Linked DNA regions of Saccharomyces cerevisiae S288C. The protein of the gene in region 2 interacts with the protein of the main gene of each other region in a biochemical or structural test. Each region holds a gene or a part of one and is shown on either strand. Other genes may lie near its edges.

What was found. Proteins that work in one complex are often made in the same cells at the same time.
Region 1: the proteins of SEC24 (region 2) and SEC16 form a complex in vitro, tested with the Saccharomyces cerevisiae proteins (2 studies listed by BioGRID).
Region 3: the proteins of SEC24 (region 2) and SAR1 form a complex in vitro, tested with the Saccharomyces cerevisiae proteins (3 studies listed by BioGRID).

The regions. Positions count from the first base shown.
Region 1 is NC_001148.4:385,548-393,866, reverse strand, and holds SEC16 (COPII coat assembly protein SEC16), read right to left. Parts: upstream 6,801-8,319; coding exon 213-6,800; downstream 1-212. Other genes in the region: Elongator subunit ELP3, read left to right, coding at 7,421-8,319. UniProt on the Saccharomyces cerevisiae protein: Involved in the initiation of assembly of the COPII coat required for the formation of transport vesicles from the endoplasmic reticulum (ER) and the selection of cargo molecules. Also involved in autophagy.
Region 2 is NC_001141.2:156,267-162,671, reverse strand, and holds SEC24 (COPII subunit SEC24), read left to right. Parts: upstream 1-2,506; coding exon 2,507-5,287; downstream 5,288-6,405. Other genes in the region: YIL108W (putative metalloendopeptidase), read right to left, coding at 1-1,785; HPM1 (protein-histidine N-methyltransferase), read right to left, coding at 5,494-6,405. UniProt on the Saccharomyces cerevisiae protein: Component of the coat protein complex II (COPII) which promotes the formation of transport vesicles from the endoplasmic reticulum (ER).
Region 3 is NC_001148.4:136,905-140,709, reverse strand, and holds SAR1 (Arf family GTPase SAR1), read right to left. Parts: upstream 2,013-3,805; coding exon 1,985-2,012; intron 1,846-1,984; coding exon 1,301-1,845; downstream 1-1,300. Other genes in the region: GTPase BMS1, read left to right, coding at 1-1,090; PCL8 (Pcl8p), read right to left, coding at 2,482-3,805. UniProt on the Saccharomyces cerevisiae protein: Small GTPase component of the coat protein complex II (COPII) which promotes the formation of transport vesicles from the endoplasmic reticulum (ER).

The DNA of each region.
Region 1 (8,319 bases), on a different chromosome or scaffold from region 2:
CAAGAAAATGAGGTATGATAGAATAATATTAGTATAAGCAAAGTTTCAGATCGCATTCATCTGATTTCTTACTGACAACGATGCATAACCTAAATACGGATTCCTGTAATCATTGTTTTAATAAAATTTACTACGGTTTTTATAAGTATATAATATACATCAAGAAAAGGGAAGGCATAAGGGTACCATGAAAGAAAAACGTATTACTATAATTATTGTATGTTATCCATTACATTAACATAGCCTCTCGCTGTTTTCTTCTTCCTTCTCGTACTTGCTGGTTTGGGTCCTCCTGCCAAACTCAATAAATCATCCAAACCGTTTGCCTTTTTGCTAGTCAAGTTTACGCCAGAAATCCTTGATATGGGAGAGGATGGTGATGGAGAATTGTTTGGATTGGGTCCTGTAGGAGAAGGGGATGTTTTGATCGGCAAAGGCTCACCAGTGATTGGATTGTTCGGAATAACTGATGTGGCATGTACTGGAGGTAGGGAATTATTGATGGGGCCTGAACGTGGCTTTGTCTTTGGGCCGCCATCTTTACGTTTCACGATTGGAGGAGGTGGTGGTGCCGAACTTTCAATAATTTTTTGTTTTTCCTCTTCGGTTGCGTCCTTATTCACCCAACGTTTCAATTTTTCATCATAGTATAGTGTGTTTTTATGACCTAGCTTGGCCTTATACACTTTTTTGTCGCCAGTATCTTTCTTCAACCAACCAAACCAACCATTAGACTTGTCATCTATGTCCTTGTTACTTGGTTTTGTTTCCTTTTTCATATTCACATTCTTTTTTTCTTCCTTTCTGTTCTTTGCCTCATCAGTAGACATATTGTCGTCATCGGATTCATCTTCAATAACGTCATTGTATTTATCCGCATCTGATTCCAACGGTTTAAAAGCCCTGTATTGGTTAGTTGAAGCCTTCCTAATAGTAGGTTGAAAAGTGTCTTTCTCGACGACTTCGGCTTTCTTTATTGGGCTGAATCTATTTTCTGAAGCAACATTTCCATTACTTTGTGCCTGGGATGTTGATTCAGATAATTCGAATGAAGCAGTTTCATTTGCTTGGTTGACCAAAGGAAAGTATTGTGATGGATTGGATGCATGTGCTTGGTGAGTTCTTGCATATATAGCAGGCGATGTTTTCAGAATCGTTGATTCATCGCCATCTGCACTAGCGGCAGTTGATTGAGGCACGTATGGTGAGTAGTTCATTTTGGTTGCGTCAGTACTTTTTGGCTTTGGTGGTGCCATATGTTGCTCCACAAGTTTGGATGCTTTATTATTAACATTTCTTGGAACATCTTGCACTTGAGAAATTGGTTTAGCTTCCATTGAAATACTTCCTGCTGGCAAGTATGTGGATTGAACTGTCTCTGAGATACTGTTTTCATCCTGAGTTAGCGGTCTGTTTTCGAGTGACAATCCACCAGTTGATGGTAAATATGCTGATGATGCTGATTTTGAAATGTTTTCTGGCTGCTCCTCGCTACTTCTTTCATTTTCAATGGAGGGAAGTGAATTTTCCATTTTCGATGCATCAGTACCCCGGACCTCCACGTTAGTTTGAAGAATCGGTTGGATATCGTCACTAATAGTTTGTATAGGATTTACTGTAGACGTAGGCTGGTGGTTGGGCTCCATAGGAAGAAGATTCTTCACATCGTTGAAGCCAGGTCCTTCAATATCCATTGTTTCATCTGTAACATCTGCAGAGTCTTTTAATGTATTTTGATCAGCATTGCTATTATCATGTGATGTGTGAGATTCATCTTCAGGCATACTTTTTTGAGAATGTTTGTTACCAAAATCATTGTATCCCGTCTCATGAACTTGCGGGACGACAGGGTCGATAGGCAAAGCTTCCACACTTGGTGAGTACATAAGCGATCCCTGCGAGGAATTAGCTTTAGTAGGTACCCCAATTTTGGGAGGAGGAAGAAATTCTGATCCGGTAGATATGATAGACTCCCTTCTTACTAAGTCAGGACTAGACACATAATTAGACGGCACTGTTCCAAGTTTGGGTGGAGCAGGGAAGTCGGCAAATAAAGATGGCACATTCGAATTAGACTTTTCCATTGGAACGCTATGGTTCTGTCCAAATTGTGGAGTGTAGGCCGTAGACTTTTTCTCTAAAATCTGCTGACTCTTCAAAGCCTTTTCGTTTGTATGCTGGTCTGTTCTAACTCTTCTCAAAGAAGCCATTTGAGGCTCAGCAGCAGCGAACTGTGTATTATGAATGCGCTGAGGAGATCCCTGCAAACTATCACCGATCCTATGCGTATACGGTAAGTTTGCTTCAACTAACCCCTTTGACACATTGGAAGGCTTTGAATGCAGCACACTATGGCTTGGTACATTATGGGCATTATGCAAAAGAGCTGTAGTATCCACATAGCTTTGCGAAGTAACTTGAGCTTGGAAAGGTGTGAATGTTTGGGTGAGATCCACAGTTGACGAATTGGCAGAAGATCCCGGTGTGAACCCATCAAAAACTTTCTTTTTATCATTTTTTTTATTCAATGCATCAATATCATCGCCACCAATATATTTATTGAAGGATTTATCTAATTGACCCCATACGCTGCTTAGTTTTGGTTTTGCAAGCCATCCTGTATTAGACTCGGAAAGCCTACTAGCCACCTCACTCAATTCACGAGTGAGGTTTATTGTTAAAATATCTTTCTTAGGCAGTTTTCGAACTGAGGAACTGAGGTAATCAGTATACTTTGTCCCCAGGCTGTTCAAACCTTGTTCTTGTAAAAGAGATGCATGGTATATCTTCTGGGGCAAAATAGATGAAAATCCTTTGAATTTAGGGTCATACGAGAATATATACTCGTAGATTTCATCCCATAGAATGCTTTCAAAAGTATTCATGTTTCCAATACTTTCAAATATAACGTCTGAATCTGCCATTACTGGCTCATTAGAAAGTGGTACGTTACCAATAATAAATAATGTACTAGCTGCGGCTGTCAAGCCCTTTTTGGTGAGGAATATACCGAACTCTATCAAAAATTCAAGGACAACAGGTGGTATAAGTAGTGGATCTTCATTATTTTCTGGGATATTAATCAGAACAGCTGCAACGATACTCTTCCAGTTTTCGGATGCCCATTGACTGGTCTCATTATTAGTGTAGAAACTTTTTATGGCCATTTTGGAGTTACCAACAAATACTTGAAAGATAAGGAGCAGAAAGTGTGCCAATTCTTTTTGGTCGTTTGGCCCCGCAGTAAACCCTTCATATAAATATTTCTGAATGACTTCAGACCATCTGTCTTTACCCATTAAACTGCCAACCAATAGTGCAATGGCATAATCCCTCTTGCTTAAAGCTAAGCGAAGTGCCTCATCGTGATTTCCCGTTTGTAAGAACGCCAGGACTCTCATCTGACAATTTATATCCAGTCTATATGCATTTGGAATCATGTCACCGTTTGGAAAGGGCTGAGATAGGTACATTAAAAGTTCGTCAGAATTGTATAGTAGTTTTGAAATATTTTTCCAGTTAACTTTATCGTTTAGTTTCATTTCCAATAGTTGCCATATAGTCATATCAGTGGATGATTCATTTTCAGATATGGATTTAATAGTGGTTTCCATCCATTTGGTTAAATCCTTTTTTTTTAATTTGGCACTACCCAAAGGACCTGGGAAGCTTTTGAGCATATCGTTCGGTTTAATTATCTGGTCAATTGGTGTCACTTTTATTTCCTGTACAATGCTTGATGAAATCATGTACTGCGATTGGTCAGGGATAGGGGGGACTGCGTACACGACCTTGTTTGCAGCACTCCAATGAAAAATCGGAAATTGACGGCGTAATAAAGCCTCGTTGTCTATTTTAATTGGATTATTTTCCTGTCGTGGTGGTGCAACACTACTTGTAGCTCGATGCGTGATAATTTCTGGCAGTATGTTTTCAGCAAGTGGCAAATTTGCAAGAGGTAGTGAATTTGCAGCCGTTATGTTGCTTGCACGGGGTTGCAAGTTCGTAGCGGCTTGTAAGGGGTCTAGAGGTCGTAAGGGGGCTAAAGGTAAAATGCCAGTAGGCGGTTGAATGTTCGCGTGAGGCTGAATACTTGCTGAAGTTTGAGCCTGGGGCATCATAGGAACTGCATAAGAACTTCGGGTTTGGCTTTGATAGCTTGAATTCCCAGCTACAGGACCAACAGGTTGTGAGGTATATGGCACCTGATAAGATTGTTGATAGTTGGGTGCGTATCTAGAGGCGTGTTCATTCTGGTTTGGTGTATACGAACTAATAGAGCTTGTATGGCCTCTATGGGTCTTTACAAAATTGGGGGTATTTACGGCCGAAGCGCCAAGGTTTTGCACAACTGATGGATATTGCTTCTGCTGAACTGTAGGAGAGACGGGGGCATACTTATTCGCAGTTGGCAAATTTATGGTAGCTTGACCATATGGCGAAACCGGAGGTACCCCGTTATTGAGGCCGTACTGTGTTGCATGTCTAGCACCAAAAGACGCTGAACTTCCCACGGAGGCATTGCTGACCCCTCTTGCCCGAATTGGAGGAGCAGAAACGGTGGTTTCCACTTTTAATGCTGGGGGAGGTATGTTGGTATTTGGTAAAGGCATACCTGATTGGATAGGAGCCTGTTGTAGTTGTTGAATTTTGTATGGGTTAGGGAAAGCATAATTAACGGGAGATTGCGAGATCGCTGAGTTAGTTCTCGAAGATCGAGGCTCCTGCGTCCCCAATGGGATCACGGGTGGCCTATTTGAGTTATTAGAGCCTTTCCTGCTCTGTGGAATTGGTTTGTCCAAAGAACTAAAAGAATTCCCTGAGCCAAACCTTTGAGTAGGAACGGCAACCGGCTTTGCGTGACCCTTCTTGGAACTTTCTGAAATAATTTCCAGTGGAAAATCGTAAGCATCAGACTTCTTTTTCTCCTCATTTATCTTAAAATTTGAACGATTGTCTTTTACCACAGGAGGCTTAGGACTAACTATATTTGGTACACTGACTTGTTGGTTGGGGGTGCCTAGTCCAGTTTTAGTCAAACCGTGGAACTGCTGCGGTGTTACAATGCCAGTAGTATTGGTAAAATGAACTTGCTCTTGACGCATTCCTGCTTCCTCCTCGATAATAGGTTTATATCTTGAAGCCTTTTTTTCTTCAACTGGTTTTGAGGTTAAATTCGTTGTATTATCGGTATTAGGTACTGTGTCTTCTTCCTCAGAAGAAGCCAAAAAGCTGTCGTCGTCGTCCAAAAGGTCGTCGTCGTTTTCCAAAAACGAAAACTTTTGCTCAGCTATTTTCTCAGTACTAGTCTGCATGCTGTTTTCCGTCTTTCCCGATGATACTTCACCGTCAGAAACTTCCCAAGGAAGTTTCTCATCGTTTCCAGAAGCAGCAAATAAATCTTCATGTTTCTCTTGGGATTTGCTCGTTACATCAGCGTTTTTATCAGTAGATTCCCATGGCAAAACTTCTCCCAAGTCTCCGCTGCTCTGCGTAAACAAATCCTCGGCTTGATCTTGAATATCCTTACCAGGTTCTATAATGTCAGCTTCGGCAGACAACGGTAACTTATGATTCCCTTCCCCCATTAATTTCTGGCTTTCATTCTCAATATTTTTCCCAGTGAAATCATTTTGGCCTTCAACTACCTGTTTGTCGTGTCCGTGAAAGATATCTTCTGAAGTTTCTTCAGAGTACGACCTCTCGTCCGCGGCTGTACAACTTTCGGACTTTTTCAAAGCTTCGTTTCCTTCATAACCCTTATCACGATCATCTGTGTTCGGTGCCGATTCTTGAGTATTATTTGTGTTCTCATTATGAAAATCTTTCTTCACATCTTCCTCCCATGGAACCTTCTGATCACTTTCGTCATCTTGAAACAACATGGAGGTATCATCACCAGAATTTCTTATTTTATTCTCAGATGGTTCTGTACTAGACGTAAATAAGTTTTCTGCAGTTTCCTGATCAGCGATATCCTGTTTCTTTTCTTCGGTTGATACATGCGTTTCTAGTTTTAATCTTTCATCTTCTTCCTTTGAAAGTTCATCAGGAAGCACATTATTTGCGTTCAAACTAATTTCCTTATCATTACAATACTCATCGTCATTTATTTCATTGTCTTTTGTGCCTAGAGGAACATTGTGAGTTGGCGTATCACCAGAAGATAATTCTGGAGAAAGAAGATTGCCATCGGATGGGAGAAAATGATTATATTGAGAAGGGGTAGCATCGTTTAATGATGAAATTATTATGCTGTCGTGATTTTCACCCTCTTCTTCATTGAAAGAATCCTCTTCCACAGCGGATACGGCAATTTTCTGGGTATGTTCATTATTATTGTGAAGTTCTCCCGCGACTACATCGAGCGATGGATTTCTCGAAGATAAGTGAGCGGCAGTCTCTTCGTATTCTTGAGACATGGCTGGTTTTGTTTGGGTAATAACAGAGTCATGTTCAACGATTGAGTTGTCTGGCAAATCATTTGAGTCCGCGGTAATATCATGTTGATCAGAGTCGTTGAGCAGTTTATGATGCAATTCTTGAGTATCAGGTATTTCTAGTTGTGTTTCATTAGCCGGAGAGATATTGGTAGATGATGAGACCGGAGGAACATCAGATTTTGAAGCTATGTCAGATTCTGTACGGTTCACCGAGTCGTCGTTGAAGCTGCTGTTAATCGTACTTTCTGGTAATTCAAGTGGTTCTTCACTGTGGCTAGCAGCTTTCTCAGCAGCTTTTTTTTGCTTTTGCTTCAACTTCTTCTTTTGGTTTTTCCTTTTCTTGGCTTCAGGTGTCATTCTTAACACGTTATTAAATGAAGACTATACAAAATAATAGGTACAACGGTTTCCTTGGTTATGGCCAGTTAAATACCACTATTTTGAAAAGGGAATATTGATAACAGTTGTTGTCCAGTTTCTCAAGCAGGAGGGCTGCAAATATTCAATGACCAAAATCTTGTGTAACCTGCCAATTAACCTTTTCCGTATATCTTTCTCTTGCTCGTAAGTTTATAGTGGAAAATGCCACATGTACGGTCGCTTGAGGTTTGAAATTATGGATCAGAAAGTGATGATCACTTATAACGTTGTGTTATATTATTCAACAATGAGATATACAGCGATAAGACAGTGAGAGAAGGAGAAAGCACTTAAAAGAAGAAAGTCTTAACTTAGGATGAACTTCTGATTTTCAAAAGTCAATACTGCCACTGTTTGATTTTATTTTTCTGCCGCTTTCATTGTTTAATCATTTCACCTTTTATTATTTACTGTCACTGGCTCTTCCTCATGAAAAAAAAAAAATGGTCAAAAAATTTTGAAATTTAGTTAGCTCATCTCAAATTATCCAGTGCAAAGTTTTGAAATAAACAAGTCCTAAAAGCACCTAAGGAAAATCGAAGAACACCCTGACAAAGATGGCTCGTCATGGAAAAGGCCCAAAAACTAACAAAAAAAAGCTAGCACCTGAAAAGGAAAGGTTTATACAATGTTGTGCTGATATCACATTAGAGTTAACAGATTCTTTAACCTCGGGAACAACAAGAGAAATTAATCTGAATGGTTTGATTACTAAATATTCAAAGAAATATAAACTAAAGCAACAACCAAGGTTAACCGATATCATTAATTCTATTCCAGACCAATACAAAAAATATTTATTACCCAAATTGAAGGCTAAGCCAGTAAGAACAGCATCGGGTATTGCAGTGGTAGCCGTTATGTGTAAACCACATCGTTGTCCTCACATTGCATATACAGGTAATATTTGTGTTTATTGTCCAGGTGGTCCAGATTCAGATTTTGAGTATTCTACACAATCTTACACAGGCTATGAACCAACTTCAATGCGTGCCATCAGAGCTCGTTATGACCCTTATGAACAAGCACGTGGTAGGGTGGAACAATTGAAACAGTTAGGTCACTCCATCGATAAAGTCGAATATGTTCTGATGGGTGGTACATTTATGTCATTACCAAAAGAATATCGTGAAGATTTTATTGTGAAATTGCATAATGCACTTTCTGGGTTCAATGGTAATGATATTGATGAAGCTATTCTTTATTCGCAACAAAGTTTAACGAAGTGTGTTGGTATAACAATCGAAACTAGGCCTGATTATTGTACGCAAACACATTTGGACGATATGTTAAAATATGGCTGTACCAGATTAGAAATTGGTGTTCAGTCCTTGTACGAAGACGTTGCTCGTGATACTAATAGAGGACACACCGTTAGGTCTGTTTGTGAAACTTTTGCTGTGTCTAAAGATGCTGGTTATAAGGTTGTTTCTCACATGATGCCAGATTTACCAAA
Region 2 (6,405 bases):
GATACTATGTGTAATTTTTGAGAAATAATTTCTTGGTGGTACAGAGGGCTTGGATGCGGGAGCATCCTTTGTTCCAGTTGGTTTTTCCTTGTAATAAAACCTCACACCATCTAATGCATAGCCATGGTATATTCTCACAGCAGTGACTAATCTAACATCAAAAGCGACGACGCCGACAGCATTACCACCGTCGCTGCGACCATAAAGTGGTGATTTGATACCTTGAACATTTTTAGAAAACCCATATTTCGACATGTCTAATGGCTGAACATCTAACAAAGATGGGAACTTGTCGAACTCGGTTTCCGGTGCATTAACAGAAAGAATTTTCAATTTGAAGGTATTGCCAAACTTGGCGAGTTCATTCTTGGGCAACCTGGCACGTAAATCATCTAATGTTACTATAACTTCCCGTTGAGGCCCCTGTCCACCTAGGGAAACCGGCAAGTATTCAATATGGCCCCTGGCCAAATCATCACATATAATTTCAATCAAATAGATTCCTGTGGGCGATAATATGCGGCAACTGCCGTTACCCAAAGGATATACAGAGTGTTTTATATTGGGGTATCCGCCCAATTTTGTAGGTCTCATGAACGATGGATCGTAATAATCCTGTGGTAAAGTGAAAGAGGGGTGGTACAAAAATCTTACCGTATCGAGACGGTTCCAGGTACATTCTTCCTTGGGGAAGATGGGAGGACTAGCACCAGTTGAATTAGTTCTTACAGAATAAGCCTCTTTAGTCAAGAAAGACCTATTCAAAGTGGTATAGCCTCTTAGCATAACACCGCTTTCCTGATGAGGACAACCCAGTAAGTGACCAATCTCATGCATAAATGCTCCCAACGTGATAGTCAAACATTCCCAGTAAGTACCACACTCATTACAGTCGTTGGCGACTTCACTGGTGGAGGATCTTGTCTCATCAGTAAAATAAGGCACCAATTGCTCGAGACAAGTAGGCCATGAGTAAAGCCCGTGCGACCCAAAAATGGCGAGCTTAATGCTGTCGTCACCCCCACCCAATGCGGCGTGGCCTCTAATCAACTTACCATCCCAGTGGGTGTCTAGAAACATACAAGCTGCCTGAACAGGCTTTTCGTTATTGGTGAAGGGTCCGCCGTAACTTTTAAGGGCGTCCATGGCTATCCCAAAAAGGGCGCCGGTGTTTTTCCCTTTGGAATTCTGTTGAGCTATGTCAGGGTCCTGGATTTCCTTCACCGTCTTTTCCGAACGAACTACATGTATTTTGATGGTGTTTCTCATAGCAGGCCGTTCGAACAGCGTGTCCCAGGTAAATTCTTCAACAAAGGGAAACGTCCTATTTCCCATACTGTTTCTCAGCATTTGCTCGTTCGTGTACGCTTGCATGAGTCTGGCCCCAAGTCTTAGCTTCTTGATTGCCAATTCGAGGCCATTCCCGCCCTCTCTGTCCTTCTGTTCTCGAGGAGAGTCAAACTGTAAAGGCGAATCCTTGGCCAAGATCAGACACAGGTGTACGGGAGGGTTCTGCGTCAGTGGTGTGTAGTAACATACGATTGTCCTAGCGGTGTTAGTGTCTGTAACAAAGGTCAACTTGTTCTCACCAGGAGTCAATATCACAGTGGCCTTGAAGAACTGATTATGTATGGGGTAAGTAATTGGAGGCAATTGTGGATGCTGCACTTGAACGGTCTTCGCACCATTTTGCTTATTGCATTTTCCGTGCACGATAAGACAAGGAGAAACGATTTGCTCGTTCTCTCTCAGGTTGAATAGATCAATATCCTTCGAGCCTACCATTTATTTCTTTCTCTTCGAACTACTACTTCCTTTTTTTTTTTTTACTGTATACGATCTAATAATAAGAAGAAAGAAGAACTCCTTTTAAATTTCCTTTTTCTCTCTATTTTCCGGCGACCGCTACTCTTAAACGTCCAAACCAAAAAAAGATCGAGAGAATTGACTGCGCCAAGACACATGAACTTCTGAAACCTAAGAAAGCCTGACTGTTCCTAAGGTGATCTATATTTATATACAACATCATGCTCTTAAAAGAATAGGTTACGTAATTAATTGATGGAAAATTTCAGCAAATTTCCGCCTAGAATGCCGGGTAACAAAAAAGTAATTAGTGCTATGTTTGGGTGATAGAATCGTGTCACAAATATACATAGCACTGACAAGTGTGCATTTTGCACTAACCACTGCTATAAGTTTTTCAGCTTAATGCAGTCTATTCAGGCACTATCTGGGCTTGAAAAACAGTCTTGGACATGGCCACTGGAGCAGATTTGTTAACGCTTAGCTGTTCTCTTTTTTTTTTTCTTGTTTTTTCCATTTACGGCAGAAGAAAATGAAAACTGGAAGAACGAAAACGAAGAAAAACAAAACTATGTAAGGAGGATGGTACATCAGGAAACAGGCCAAAAATAGCACTACAAAAAGGTTTTATCTGGCACTCAGGTCCATTTTTGCCGCATTGAAACAGACATAAATATATAAGTCTGAGACCATCTGCAAAATGTCTCATCACAAGAAACGTGTTTACCCACAAGCTCAGCTCCAGTATGGACAAAATGCCACCCCTCTACAACAGCCAGCACAATTCATGCCTCCGCAGGATCCTGCTGCAGCTGGAATGAGCTATGGTCAGATGGGAATGCCGCCACAGGGTGCAGTCCCTTCCATGGGGCAGCAACAATTCCTAACCCCTGCTCAAGAACAGTTACACCAGCAAATTGATCAGGCCACCACTTCCATGAACGATATGCATCTGCACAACGTACCGCTAGTCGATCCTAACGCTTATATGCAGCCACAGGTTCCCGTGCAAATGGGCACACCTTTGCAGCAACAGCAACAACCAATGGCAGCGCCTGCGTATGGCCAACCTAGCGCCGCAATGGGCCAAAACATGAGGCCCATGAACCAGTTGTATCCAATCGATCTGTTGACGGAATTGCCTCCTCCAATTACCGATCTGACCTTGCCTCCCCCACCGTTGGTTATTCCTCCAGAAAGGATGTTAGTTCCTTCTGAATTGTCCAATGCGTCTCCAGATTATATCAGGTCGACCTTGAACGCCGTTCCTAAGAACAGCTCCCTGCTGAAGAAGTCTAAACTTCCATTTGGGCTTGTTATCAGACCATACCAACACTTGTACGACGATATCGACCCGCCTCCATTGAATGAAGATGGACTTATTGTCCGTTGTCGTCGTTGTCGTTCTTACATGAACCCTTTTGTCACTTTTATCGAGCAAGGCAGAAGATGGAGATGTAACTTTTGTCGTCTGGCCAATGACGTTCCTATGCAAATGGACCAGAGCGATCCAAACGACCCAAAGAGTAGATACGACAGAAATGAAATCAAATGTGCTGTGATGGAATATATGGCCCCAAAGGAATATACTCTAAGACAACCACCTCCAGCCACTTACTGTTTCCTGATCGATGTCTCCCAGTCCTCTATCAAGAGTGGGTTACTGGCCACTACCATCAACACCCTTTTGCAAAATCTTGATTCCATTCCAAACCATGATGAAAGAACCAGAATTTCCATCTTATGTGTAGACAACGCCATTCACTACTTTAAAATCCCATTGGATTCTGAAAACAATGAAGAGTCCGCCGATCAAATCAACATGATGGATATTGCCGACCTGGAAGAGCCTTTCTTGCCCAGACCAAACTCTATGGTTGTGTCCTTAAAGGCCTGCAGACAAAACATTGAAACTTTATTGACCAAGATTCCTCAAATCTTCCAATCTAATTTAATCACAAATTTCGCACTGGGCCCCGCTTTGAAATCCGCTTATCATTTAATTGGTGGCGTTGGTGGTAAAATAATTGTTGTGTCAGGTACTTTGCCCAACTTAGGCATAGGAAAATTACAAAGGAGAAATGAAAGTGGTGTTGTTAATACATCCAAGGAAACTGCACAACTACTTTCCTGTCAAGACTCATTTTATAAGAATTTCACCATCGATTGTTCTAAAGTACAGATTACTGTCGATTTATTTTTGGCTTCTGAAGATTATATGGACGTTGCATCACTATCGAATTTGAGTCGTTTCACTGCTGGTCAAACGCATTTCTATCCTGGTTTTTCAGGCAAGAACCCAAATGATATTGTCAAATTTTCCACTGAGTTTGCCAAGCACATTTCCATGGATTTCTGTATGGAAACCGTAATGAGAGCCCGTGGTTCCACAGGTTTGAGAATGAGTAGATTCTATGGTCACTTCTTCAATAGATCATCTGATTTATGTGCATTTTCCACCATGCCAAGAGATCAATCATACTTATTCGAAGTTAACGTTGATGAATCCATTATGGCTGACTATTGTTATGTTCAAGTAGCGGTACTTTTATCTCTGAATAATAGTCAACGTAGAATAAGAATTATAACATTGGCTATGCCAACCACGGAATCGTTGGCAGAAGTCTACGCATCTGCTGACCAATTAGCTATAGCGTCGTTTTACAACTCGAAGGCGGTGGAGAAAGCATTGAATTCCAGTTTGGACGATGCAAGAGTATTGATCAACAAATCCGTGCAAGATATCTTAGCCACGTACAAGAAGGAAATAGTGGTGTCCAACACTGCAGGGGGGGCCCCATTGAGGTTATGTGCCAATTTGAGAATGTTCCCATTGTTAATGCATTCTTTAACTAAGCATATGGCATTTAGATCTGGTATTGTCCCAAGTGACCATCGCGCCTCGGCCTTGAACAACTTAGAATCATTACCTTTGAAATATCTAATCAAAAACATCTACCCTGATGTTTATTCGCTGCATGATATGGCTGATGAGGCTGGGTTACCAGTGCAAACTGAAGATGGTGAAGCTACTGGCACAATTGTTTTGCCTCAACCAATCAATGCTACCTCTTCGTTGTTTGAAAGATACGGTCTATACTTGATAGATAATGGTAACGAATTGTTTTTGTGGATGGGTGGTGACGCTGTACCAGCGCTAGTATTCGATGTGTTTGGAACACAGGATATCTTTGACATTCCAATTGGCAAACAGGAAATACCTGTTGTTGAAAATTCTGAATTCAATCAAAGAGTAAGAAACATTATCAACCAATTGAGAAACCATGATGATGTCATCACTTACCAATCATTGTATATTGTTAGGGGTGCCTCTTTGAGCGAGCCCGTTAACCATGCATCTGCTAGGGAAGTTGCAACGCTAAGACTATGGGCTTCTAGCACCTTAGTGGAGGATAAGATTTTGAATAACGAAAGTTACAGAGAATTCTTACAAATCATGAAAGCCAGAATTAGCAAATAAGGCTAAAAGGGAATCAATGATAAAAAGAAACTGTATATTTTTGTTGGTTGCATTTTTGCTTTCCAATTATATTATGTATATTGAACAGTTACTTTAATTTTTACTTCTATATTTCTTTTCTATTTTCATCCATGTTATAAATAAAAGATACAGTAAAAGACTTATGGATTAACTTAAGGAAATGAAGTTGAAACAAATTATACTAACTATCGGATAGCTTTATTTGTTTCAATGCATATAATCGACCTTTTTAAGCCAGAGTTAACTTTAAACCTTTCAGAATGAATTGGTAGATGTTCGGAGTTTATTTTGTCGTCCAAATAAGCTTCAAATTCAGTGATGCTACCACCGACTCCAAAATAAATATCCTTTGCGGCTACGTAAGTTTTGACATCGGTTTGTGGTAAATTGTGTATGTCAAGTATTGTTTCCGCTATAACGGGCAAATTGTCAGGTTGATAAATTGTTTCTGAGGATAATGAAAGGACTTTTTGGCTACCTGAGAGTACTTCATGGATCAAATTACTAAATTTACGTCCCCACGATCCTGATATAAGAGTGACGCTGATATTCCTGCTTTGTACATCGTCGTAAAAGGCAGCTAACAGCTTTGAGGTAAGAAGCAGTTCCTCATTATTTATTGGAATATCTTCACATTCGTCTTTCTGTAAGGCGTACCATTGTTCCTTTGTCAAAACCGTTTTAGCCCATGTTATAACCAAATTCGGTATGGTAACTAATCTTAATACACTGGCATTATAGTCAGTCAAAACAAACTTTAAACCTTTACTTCTATCATTCCGTAGAAGAGCAGATCTGAAAAGAAACTCTGAGGGTAGTGCCGTACCACAGCCTATTTCGACAACCGCGTCGATATCGTTGCTTATTCTATCAACGTTCTCTGACAACAAATCAACTAAATCATAAGAGCACTCCCATGATTTCAACCCACCTTCATAGATGTTCTTTCTCAAATCTTCAGAAGTATCACCTAGTAAAATGTCCAGTTCCGTGGAGTTGTTGTTGGATTGGGCATCTGTCTCTAACATTAGCTGATGTTTGACATCGAATAGTTCCCTCTTGATCAATGGTTTTCTATATATCGGAGATTGGAACTC
Region 3 (3,805 bases), on a different chromosome or scaffold from region 2:
GTTCGGTATTGTCAAAGCCAGGTTGAGAAGACATCGTTGGCATAAGAAGATTTTGAAGACAAATGACCCACTGGTCTTGTCTTTGGGTTGGAGAAGGTTCCAAACTTTACCAATTTATACAACAACTGACTCTAGAACAAGAACCAGAATGCTAAAGTATACACCAGAACACACATATTGTAATGCGGCTTTCTACGGTCCCTTATGTTCTCCAAACACACCTTTTTGTGGTGTTCAAATTGTTGCTAATAGTGATACCGGGAACGGTTTTAGAATTGCAGCAACAGGTATCGTTGAAGAGATAGACGTTAATATTGAAATTGTTAAAAAGTTAAAATTAGTTGGGTTTCCATATAAAATTTTCAAAAATACTGCCTTTATAAAGGACATGTTTTCAAGTGCTATGGAAGTTGCAAGGTTTGAGGGTGCGCAGATCAAAACTGTCTCGGGTATCCGTGGTGAAATCAAAAGGGCACTTTCAAAGCCTGAGGGTCACTATAGGGCAGCCTTTGAGGATAAAATCCTAATGAGTGATATTGTAATTCTAAGATCATGGTATCCTGTCCGCGTCAAGAAATTCTATAATCCTGTTACCTCACTATTGTTGAAGGAAAAAACCGAGTGGAAAGGTTTAAGATTGACAGGCCAAATAAGAGCGGCTATGAACCTGGAAACACCGTCGAATCCGGACAGTGCATATCATAAAATAGAACGTGTAGAAAGACACTTCAATGGTCTAAAGGTCCCAAAAGCTGTTCAAAAGGAATTGCCATTCAAATCTCAGATCCATCAAATGAAACCACAAAAGAAGAAAACATATATGGCTAAAAGAGCCGTGGTGCTAGGTGGTGATGAAAAGAAGGCAAGATCATTCATTCAAAAAGTATTGACGATTTCGAAAGCCAAAGACAGCAAGAGGAAGGAACAGAAGGCTAGTCAACGTAAGGAAAGATTGAAAAAATTAGCTAAGATGGAGGAAGAAAAATCACAAAGGGATAAGGAGAAAAAGAAAGAATACTTCGCCCAGAATGGTAAAAGAACAACTATGGGCGGTGACGATGAATCTCGTCCACGTAAGATGAGGAGGTAAACTTTCATGTATATATATATATATACATATATATATGTATACTTAAGATGTATCATACTTTTATTCAATCTTAGAGTCTAAAATATACTATGATCGCGGAAATGCTGTGCTCAAAAGTTATGAGGTGGCATCCTATGCAATTTTGTTGATTATTACAAAGCTGTTGAATTCATGTGAATGTCATATAAAGGGTATAGATGTATACGTCAATTAAATATATTGAGATAACCATTGGAACGCCTCTAAATAACCATTTCTCATAACAACGGAACACATGAAAACTTCAACTGGTCTTTGACCTTCAATTCTTTGAGAGCCAGTGGTATTCAATAATCCTAAAGCAGAACGTAGCTCCGCTTCAGAAACGGCGTTTGGAGCATCGATCTTGTTACCAAGAATTACAAAAGGAACGTCCTTCAATTCGGCAATGTTGAATAAAGCATCTAATTCGACACGTGCTTCATCAAATCTTTCAGGGTCAGCAGCATCGACTAAAAAGACGATACCATTAACTTCTGGGAAATAATCCTTCCATAAACGACGAGCTTGAATATGACCACCCAAATCGAAAGTTGTAAACTTAATGTTACCAATAGCCAGTTCTTCAGAAGTTGGATGCCATGTTGGTTGTAAGGTTGCCAATCTATCGTTCTTTAACATATGTAGCAATGTGGTCTTACCGGCATTATCCAAACCCAAGAAAAGTAGTTTACCATGTTTGTTCCACAGACCAAGGGAAGCCAACACATCTCTGACTGTACAGTAAAATAAAGTTAGTAAAGGACGCAATTTCTTCTAGAAAAAAAAAAATAGATCTTAAGCTGAAAACATTCAATGTTTACCACATTGAATAAAACTAAGTATCCGAAAAACGTGAACAGGGTGATAACATACACCAACCAAAAATATCCCAACCAGCCATTATTCCAATTATATATTGTTAGTTATAATGATGTTTCTAGAAAAGAAGGAAATAAATCTACTGTTTGCCTTTCTAGAGGATCCATTACAATAACTATTTGACAAGTAATTCGTTTCCTTTTGGTTTTTTATGCGATCTCTTGTTCGAGTTTTCTGGTCAACGCGTTGCAGACGGAGTTGTCGGGTAATGCGGGCGTATACGATATAATGATAGAACGATATAATGTACAATACGGCCATGTTGAGCGCGAATTTTAGAAGTGCCATCCTGCAGGAGCTTTTCGTAAGCTTCTGTATACTATAGGTACCTATCGAGGCCAGCACACGTTTAATTATGCGGAATTACTTTCTTAGCATTAAAAAAGAAATAAAATAAAATCCAAAAAAAAATAAATAAATAAATAAAAATAAATACTATGAAAAGAAATAAGGGAAGGAACAAATGAACCTGCATAATACATATGCAAAACTCATGTGTTTCCTAATGCCTGTCTTGTATCATCAAGGATATGCAATGTTTTTTCTAATTTTTCACAAGTAATCATTAATCCATCGAAATTAACACTCGCCATGAAAGAAATTTCCAGTTTGGTCAGCAGTCTTTTTGAAATACCGAAGACTTTGCAAATGTAGTTTTGTGAGTGGACAAAGTCTTCTAATAGCTTGGTGGCAATTCTTATTGTAGATATGATGATCCTATGGGCTTGGTCCTCCTGTAATTTAGCCTTCAACTTTATGGGACCGTCCATTTCGTCTCTCGTAAGAAACACAAGTTGAAGTAGATAGGTGGCTCCAAGATAGACTACGGCACCAAACATGCATTTATTCTGGATTCTGTCGATAAAATCTCTGAATGATAAGGAAGGTGGGTTCTTCATCACAAAATTAACAAATTTTTGAGGATCTTCGGAGGAAATCGCTAAAGTGTTCGCATTATCGTTAATTTTCTTAGATAGTTGTAAAATTAATTCGATATTCTCACGGAACTTAGATAGTGCTTCATCGTCTGACAATTCTGGTATTTTCGGTATTGATTCGTAATGATCCAATAATAAAGATATTCGTCGTAGCTCTTTTTCATTTTCCTGCTCACATTCAATGCTTAGCACTTTCAAATCTGGTGGTTCCCCATTGGGGGCAGAAGACGGGGGATAGGGGAAAGAATCAAATTTTGTGTAGTCCAGGATCTCCGAACTCTCATTTTCATCTGTTTCGTTATTGGTAGTGTTTCCACTTTCGTGAGAGTGATTATCAGTATCTATCTGACTATTCGAATTCACTTTATTCGTATATATTTTTTCCTTATCAGACGTGGATAAAGCCTTGTCTAATAAGCTGTAACCGTGGTGTTCCACAGTGGGTGTAGTAGAGCTAGCATTTGCAAGGGGATCCAGGAGATAATTATCGTCATCATTGTCCAACTCCGTATCGCTAAGAGCAAAGTTGGACATGGAATCTAAGCGTCCGGTACCTTGAGTTGCTGTGTCACTCTTTACTCTCCCAGGTAACTTGCCACTGCCGCTCAATAGCTCTGAGTTAAAGCTATTTACCTTGTCAATGTTGTTAGCGAGGTAATCGTTGATTTCATTGGCTGACTGGATCAGCTGTTCTACCCCCATTTTTTTACTGGACGGGCTTTTCAGGTTGAAATCTGTATTGAAGTCATTGTGAAGTTGCTGATGTTGCTGTTGCTGCTTTTGCTGTTCAAATCTCACCTTCTTGGACGGACCATGCAAACTAGAAAGCGGGTCTAACACGTCATTTACTTCTGAAAAGTTCCTGCTTTGAGAAACG